Linked DNA regions of Coturnix japonica. The protein of the gene in region 1 interacts with the protein of each later gene in a biochemical or structural test. Links are inferred from orthologs where the notes say so. Each region holds a gene or a part of one and is shown on either strand. Other genes may lie near its edges. The genes, in order: KSR1 and MARK3.

Region 1 (4,405 bases):
ACCCTCTTTCACAGAAGAGCACTCAGATATTCTCCATTTCTGCAAAGGTGACAGCCTCACCAACATGCAAGTGCTCAGCAGTGCTGAGCAGGGGCAGGAATTCATGGTAAGGAGTGTTAAGTCAGCATATTTTTCCATGCGGGCCTGGAGGGCAGTCTTGTACACTGGGACTGGAATGCTGCCCACTTACGGTAGCTGGTTAAGGAGCCCAGCACTCACAACACAGTACAGAAACATTCAGAAAGAATGCCAAATATCTTGTCATGCATAGCCCATAATTTTCCTGGTTTGTTTTCTTATGCAATAAACCTGGTTTGTTGTCTACTAGTAAATGGATGTTCTCAGGCAGGTATACAAAGAATGTTTATGATAATAATACTCCTGTTAATAACATTGCTAAATCCAGACACTTGTAATTCAAGACTTCAGTCTGTCACACTTCTATAAACTACAATTTTCAGTGCTAAACTTTCAGTGCTCCCAAGAGGAGGGGTGTAAAGACTTTTTCATTAAGTTGGAATGATGGAGGTAATAAAGCAAGTGACTTTTCCAAAACCACAGGATGTATCACATGGCAAACTAATTAAACCATAATCCAGCAAAGCCCTTTTTGTGTATGAAACCTGCAGCATGTGAAGAATAATGAAATCAAATACTCGGCCTTCTTAATACCTTCTTAAGAAAATTACTAAGCAGTGTACGTCACACTGCTTGATGCAAATACAGCCAAAGTAACATATACACTAGTATCCATCTAATCATGAGAAAACCAGCTGTGTCAGCTGATTTGCCCTGCTCCACTGCCTCATGTCCTATATCCACAGATCCTCCCCCCCTTTTTTTTATTTTGCATAAAACTCTGCTGTTGCCACACATAGCTCAGATATCATTCTGGCTTTTTAAACCTGCTGTCAATCTGATCCGTTGGAGGAAGTTATCTCCTGTCAGCAGAGCACAACTACATTGTCCTTCTGCATCTGTCATGTCAGATGAACAGCCCTCATTGTGCAGGCAGCTGGGTGGTCAGCTCTGTAGGGTTATGTCCCACGCTACTGCGATGCTCCGGGTGAGCCCAACAGATAGAACTTGCAGCCAATGCACCTGCTGTGCAGCTACCTGTGCCTGTGCCACTTTTCTAGAATTTCCACTGTGAAATATGAGCCCACAGTTGTTTCACAAGGCCATAATGAAGTTTTCTCCTATTTATGATATGAATAAACCCATATCACACTCAAGTGCTTGTAAGTTGTTTTTAATAACTCCCACCTCATGTGCCTTTGCTATGCAAACACTTATGCCAAAGAACACATGTATCTGATGGATTTATAGAACATCTGGGAAACCCTATTTTAGGAAAACACTCGATGGCCTTGGCAAGGGACTTGCTTATGGCCAGCACATGGTTTGTATCCATGTAACAGCAAAGAACCATGACAGCATCACTGAACTCTGCAACTCCTCACCCCACAGTGCAGAGCCCCAGTGACTCCAACTTTGCCATGGCCACGGCCGACACACCTGGAATCACCCAAGGGGCTTTTGTGGGATGATGCTGAGAGCATATAATATTGTTTGTATGCTATTTCTAAGCTCCGTTTTGGTTCTTTTGGCATTTGGTATCTGCAGACGCGAGGACTTGGCCGGACCCGATCCTCAGCAGGACAGTGCACCCATCAGCCCCAGCTCACACATCCCACAGGGCAGACTGGGCCAGGTCCGGTGTCACCCCTCTCCCTGTCTCTCAGTGTGCCGATGGTGAGGCTCATCCGGGGTGAGGTCCAAGTCCTGACGTACCTGCGGAGACCTGAGGGATTGTAAGGTGCGCTGAAAGCAGCAAGAAGCTGATGCGGGAGCTGCTGAGGCCGACACAGGGACGCTGAGGTGGGCTCAGGGATGGGCTCAGGGATGCTGAGGTGGGCGCTGAGGCGGGCATTGCTGAGGCGGGATCTGCTGAGGCGCTGAGGCGGAGCGACCGCCCGCGCCCCCTCGCGGAGTGGCCGCCATCTGCGCGGGGCGACCGCACCCGCGGTGCCGGCTCGTCGTGCCGCATGCTAATGCGCGGTAACTGCCCGGAGAGGAGAGGCGAGGCGGGGCGGAGCGAGCCGCCGCCTGCCCTCTCTCCCTCCCTCTTTCCCTGCCCGCCGCTCCCCCCGCCGTCGCCTCTCCTCCCCGGCCTCCCTGATGCCGAGGAATGGATAGAGCGGCTGCCCTGCGAGCCGCCGGCATGCTGGAGAGGAAGGAGCGGGGCGGCGAGGCGGCGGGGCCGGCCGTGCGGGGCTTGCCGGCCGTGCGGAGCACGCTGCAGCAGTGCGGGCTGCTCCAGGACCTCATCGACATCTCGCTGTCCAACCTGCGCGGGCTCCGCACTAAGTGCGCCGCGTCCAACGACCTCACCCAGCAGGAGATCCGCACCCTGGAGGTACGGGGCCGGGGGAGCCCCGCCGCCGGGATGCGCCGGTCCTGGGGCCGGGCCCTGCCTCCAGCGCCGGGCGCCGCGCTCCTTCACCGGTGCCCGGGCTGTGGGGAGGTGGTGGGAACCCCCTTCGTCTCTCCGCGGGCGCAGAGGGGTGCTGGGGGACGCGGAAGGGAAGCAGGAAGGGGGGTCGGCCACTTTCCCACGCAGGCTGCAGGGCCTCGCCGTCCTGCCGCGGTCCCCTCGGGCCGCTGGCATCGCGGCATCCCGCCGGCAGAGCGCGGTGCCGGTGCCCGTGGCGGGGGAAGGCTCGCCGGGGCCAGACAGGTGCGGGAGTCGCGGGCAGGCCGCGATGTGCCCCCGCCCCTCCGCGCTGCTGCTGCCCGGCTGCCGGCCTGACGCGGAATGGGCGCCTGGGGGGGGGAGGGGGCAGGTGCGGGGTGAGGCGGGGACCCGAGGTGCTTCCCGACCGCCTGGCAGAGATGAGACGCTGCATCCCTGGTCCCAGGATGCTGGATGCGCAGATGATTCCCGCCGGTCTCATGTTTGTTTCTGGTGGCTCCTGCTCTGTCCTTCCAGGCCTGTCTCTCTATCCCTGGCTCGGTTTCACTGAGCTAATCCGATCCTTCTTTCCACTCTGTTGGTGTGGCTGGCGGCAGCATTGCAGTTCAGGTTGGAGAGATGCTCTGCCGTTAAGAGAGGTTATACAGAATCCTTCAGGCAGAGAACGTGTGCTTCTGTGATGCTTTCCGACACGATCTGACTGTATGCATGAGTGTTTAGAAAGGAAATTCAGACTTGTTCCGTTTGTTTGACCTTATATACTGAAGTGCTTCCCTTTGCCTTGTGTGCAGGTAATGCCGCTCCAAGCAGAACACACAGTTTCCACCCAGACCCCTGCTTGGTCAGAAGCAGAGGCCAGTGCTCCTTTTCTCTAGTCCATTACTGGAGGCTGCAGAGCTGGAGCATCAGGCTCAAAGAAGGAAAATCCTTGTGAATCTATAACAAACATATATACTAGAAAATCCCTCACTTAAATGAAGCTAGGAAAAACAATAGGTGCCAACTCTCTGTATGGCCTCTCTTTGAAATCTATTGTTCTTTTTTCTCTCTTCCTCAGCCCTCCCTGCCCCCCCCCCCCCCCCCCCAAAAAAAAAAGAAAAAAAGTTGGTAGTTCTTTTTTTTTCCTGCCACCTCCAAATAGCCTTCAAAGGCTATTCTTTATAACACAGTACTTCTGTAGACTTCTGGCCACCTTGTTGTCATTTCAGTGCTCAAACAATGTAAATCACCATCAGTTTGGAAAACGATCATCAGTACTTTGCTGGTGGACTCATTCTGCAAGAAAACCTTTAATCATAGAGCCTAAAGGCCTGCTATCATCTTCAATTTGTTCTGATAGCAACAAAAAATGTTGCTAGTGATAACTATTGAGTATGTGTCTGCATTCCTTAAGCGATTATCTGCTTAAACCAATGGGTGCCACTTTTGCTGGTGATCATAAAATTTGTCCCTCATCAGAAAAATCTCTGATATACTCCCCAGTACGTGATTTCTCTGGGAATTCAACCAAGTGCTGAATCCCTGCCAGCCCATGAAGCTACGGGAATGGGCACGGACACTGCCCTTTGCTCTCTTCAGTTGCCTGTGCCTGAAGACATGATGTCATCAGGGGCTGAGTCTCCCACTTACTGACTCTGCACAGTCTGAAGAAGGTTTGTCTGCTGCTGCTGAGCGCAAAACTGGGCTGTAAGAGTTGAGGGTCTGTGTTCGTTCTCATAAGTTGTGATTTCTTGTGGTGCACCATGGGGACTCCCAGAGGGCTGCAGGGCTGCCCCAGAAACAGGTGGCTCAACTGCTGGTTGCACTGTGCCATGTTAATGTGTCAGAAGTGTGTGCATATGTATTCATATGCATTTGCCTATCCGATCAAGTCAGTTCAGGGACGTGCTCCACAACATGCACAGAGCTGGCATTTGCAATAGCCTGGCT
Region 2 (3,610 bases), on another chromosome or scaffold:
ATTCACACAAAAAGTCAAGTAGATAACGCAGCGTTTTATCTACAGAAGTCCTCTGTGAAATGAACTGAGTATTCAGCAGGAAACAACGCTTGTAGGAAGCTCCTGGTTCCGCTCTGCCAGCCCAAATCCAGCTCAGCACAGCAGTGCTTTAAGAAGCAGGGACCATCCGACAGCAGCTCGGTGTCCTACAGAAACTAGCAGCCATCAGTGTCCGTCAGGGCAGGTTCCACACATAAGAGAACAGCGGACTCCTTCCTCAGCAGGATCTAGAGACACAGCCGGCATGAAGCCAGCAGCAAGGTGCCCAGAGCCAAGCGGGAGCATGCTGCAAGAGAGCTGCAAGGAAAGGTTTAGCTGCCACTGCCCATGGCTGTAGTTAAGCAAGCTGGATGTTACAACAGGGGACATCAGCAGCCAAATCTGACTCCCACTTTTGGGTTTCAGAAAACAAAGGAAAGCACTGCTGTGCCCGCAGCAATACTTTGGAGCAGCACAGGCTCATGTATGGTGATGTGCATCAGAACGTGGCTGCTGTTTGAGAGTCCTGTTGTGCTGTGATCAGGCTGGCCTAGTGCAAGGGGGAGAACTCTAAGAAGCCACAGGTCAGCACTCAGCACACAGCACTGCTCTGCAGGGGGACTGTGGAGCAACAGAAAAGTACTCAGAGCTGCAATCAAAACTCGTAAGCCAGAGGGATAAAGATACAGTTTTAGTAGCTCAGCAGAAGAATGGAAGCATTTACTCAAATTTTAATGCACAAATCAACTACATTATTAAAATCTGATTCGGACTTAAATAATAAATAGGTGGGCAAAACATAATGCAAGACTTACTGGGTAAAAGTGAATTTTTAATAATTTCATGAGCTCTACTTAGAAAACAGGACTAATAATGTTCACAACCGTAAATCCAAACCCTTCACACCCTTTTGTTCCTTAACACAGCAGTGAATTGTAAACCTGCGTTTACTGGTTATCTCTTCAGTTATTTTAAATATTGAACTCAAGTGTTTCCTCCTTGGCCATTTCAATTTTTAGCACCAAAATTAGCCCAAAAAGAGGTACTGGTACAGCTCCATGTGGTAAATGAATTGTTTACATATAATACTTTATATATTATACACACATACTGTACATTCACACGTCCACACAAACAGGAGGCATATTTAAATGAATATATTCTGTGTTTCAATTTGTTGTCAAAGACTTAGGAGCAATGGAAATAAAGCAGAAGGGGTAATATTTTACATAGTAGGCAACTTTAATGCTGTAGTGCACTTATAAAAAAGTCCAACTCTCCCTCCCAGCTCAGCAGCTTTGTTTTCTTTAATATCACTATTCAGAAGGATGCAGAAGTTATTGCCTAAATGTTATTCTATACATTTCCATCGGAATTCTCAAAACACTTGAAATTGCTAACTAATTTACAACTTAACTATTGTTTCTTGTTACAGCTTTAACTCATTGGCAATTTTGGAAGCAATGTTTTTAAAAGCTATGGATGTTCCCGATATCCGCTTAAAGCGAACTCCGTTCAGGGACAGTCTTGGCAGGTCACACACCTCCATTTCCCACTGCACGAGGTTTTCCGCGTGCCCATCTCCATGGACACAGAAAAGCAAGAAACGCTCTCTTTGTTCATAGTCACAATTATTGGCATCCAGGACCTTCCGGATCTCCCTCATCATGTCATTGGGATCCATGGAGCTGGTGGTTTTCATGCTCCATGTGAAACGCAGTGAGCGAGGCTTGGCTTCCTTGTTCTCATCCTTCTGATCCACGGCTACATTGCGGCTGGAAGAGAGCAATTCATCAGTCAGAAGGGTGAGATACTTCCATGGGACAGGTGTTAGCAAAGCAAACTCACGGGCAACACACACTACAAGAGCAATGTCTATGGGCCCTGGCAGCACCCCATCTCCCTCACTGCCGTACAGACACACAGTAAAGATAAAGCGTCAGCGTTCGGGGCTGAAACAAAGGTGAGGCTTGATGGGAGAAACAACTGGAGGTCACTGGAGTTGGGAGCGTGAGGGAAGTCACCTCACTGAGGAAAAACCACACACATCAGCTAGGATTCAGTTTTAAGTGTTGCTCCAAGCCCTACTCTTGGGCCACCTGCCACCCAGTTCTGGGCTGGACAGGTTTCACTCTATGAGACGTGCACAAAAGAACCACTGTATTGTAGGATACTGGGGATACCTTCAACAGGGAGGAAATATTCTGACTTTAAGCTGGTCAGTAATTTGGTTAATACCAATCAAGTAATGTGGTGAAGTCCTTTGCAGCTAGAATCTATTCATGTCCTGGAGACCAAAATGCAGGAAGGAGAGCTGGAAGTACTGACATGGTTAGTAAAGCAACCAGGGCAAGAGGGTTCCTATTACTGCCACAGTTCTAAAAGACAGCAAAAAATATGCCTTAGTACTTTCCATTTCCCAAATCTGCAAGGTTTTCTTTTTGTTTCTTTAAAGCTTTTCACTTGGTAAGGAGAAATAAGGTTATACAGGACAGTAAAAAACGATCCAGAAATTTCTAGTTCATAATGATGCCTCTACTTCCATAAAATCAGCAGTCACAGAGCTAAAGCATAAGGAGCTACATTTAAACCTTTAAGAAAAAAATGGGGCAGGTTTTCTTTTGGAAAGACTGCGTGCTGTCAGTCCTATCTTCAAACTTGTCCCCAGGGCAAGAGACTTTAATATACTGGCCACGATGCTTTAATATTTTCTGAAAACACATAACCTTGCTAACCCTAAACCACACAGTTTAGGTCTCGCGTTGAACTTCAAAGTTCAGTTTACAATTAAATTAAGCTCTTCTCTGAGATATTTGGCAGTGAATTTCTGCTTACACAACGCTTTCTTCCTTCTCCCACCATTAAGCAGGCAATTATGAAAAAGTTACATAAAAAGCAATGGCAAGGTCACAAAAAACCTATTGCAAAGATAACCTGTCTCGTAATTTTATATTCTATTATAATGACTCCCAGTAACTGCAAGAATAAAAGGATTATGCTGTCAAATCCAGCTGCATGATTTCTCAGATGCTACATACTCTTTGATTGCTGATGTATGTTGTAACTGTAAGGTTTTAATTTAATGAAGCTGCAGGAGCTGGCAAAAAGGATAGGGGGAGTAACATCAACTTTTATTCAGTGCCGACTTTAGAAAGCCTTTTCTACTTGAAAATGGTTGGCAGAATGAACACAAAGCCGATGGTTTCTAGTACTTTTAACACAAGGATTTGAGGAAGAGTTTAATATGGAAAACATTTGTGATTTTGGAGACAAAAGCACAACTTAACATCCTTCAGTGGTTATCCCACACATGTGCAGTCTCACTGGACACCACTTACCTACAGATCTACGAGACAACAGCAAATCATAAATACTAAGATGCAAAAAAACACACGAGGGAGAAGGCAACAGGAAAGATGGAAGTTTAGAAACAAGCCAGTCAGTGCTTTAGTAGCTGATCTGCAGACAGAAACGCTTCTTTGTTTAGTTTCACAGCCTTAAACAAAACAAAAGCTGCTGCCTGAAGCCACTGTGCCACATAATCAAGGGAAGAAAGGTTCAAACTCACCTAAATAACATTTCAAACAAAAAT

What was found.
Region 2: of the proteins of KSR1 (region 1) and MARK3, one has a biochemical effect on the other in vitro, tested with the Homo sapiens proteins (2 studies listed by BioGRID). The link is inferred for Coturnix japonica from reciprocal best matches to the Homo sapiens genes KSR1 and MARK3.

What each region holds. Positions count from the first base shown.
Region 1 is NC_029534.1:7,872,762-7,877,166, forward strand, and holds the start of KSR1 (kinase suppressor of Ras 1), read left to right. Parts: upstream 1-1,341; 5' UTR 1,342-2,191; coding exon 2,192-2,419; intron 2,420-4,405.
Region 2 is NC_029520.1:45,752,809-45,756,418, reverse strand, and holds the end of MARK3 (MAP/microtubule affinity-regulating kinase 3), read right to left. Parts: intron 1,794-3,610; coding exon 1,448-1,793; 3' UTR 697-1,447; downstream 1-696. UniProt on the Homo sapiens protein: Serine/threonine-protein kinase. Involved in the specific phosphorylation of microtubule-associated proteins for MAP2 and MAP4. Phosphorylates the microtubule-associated protein MAPT/TAU. Phosphorylates CDC25C on 'Ser-216'.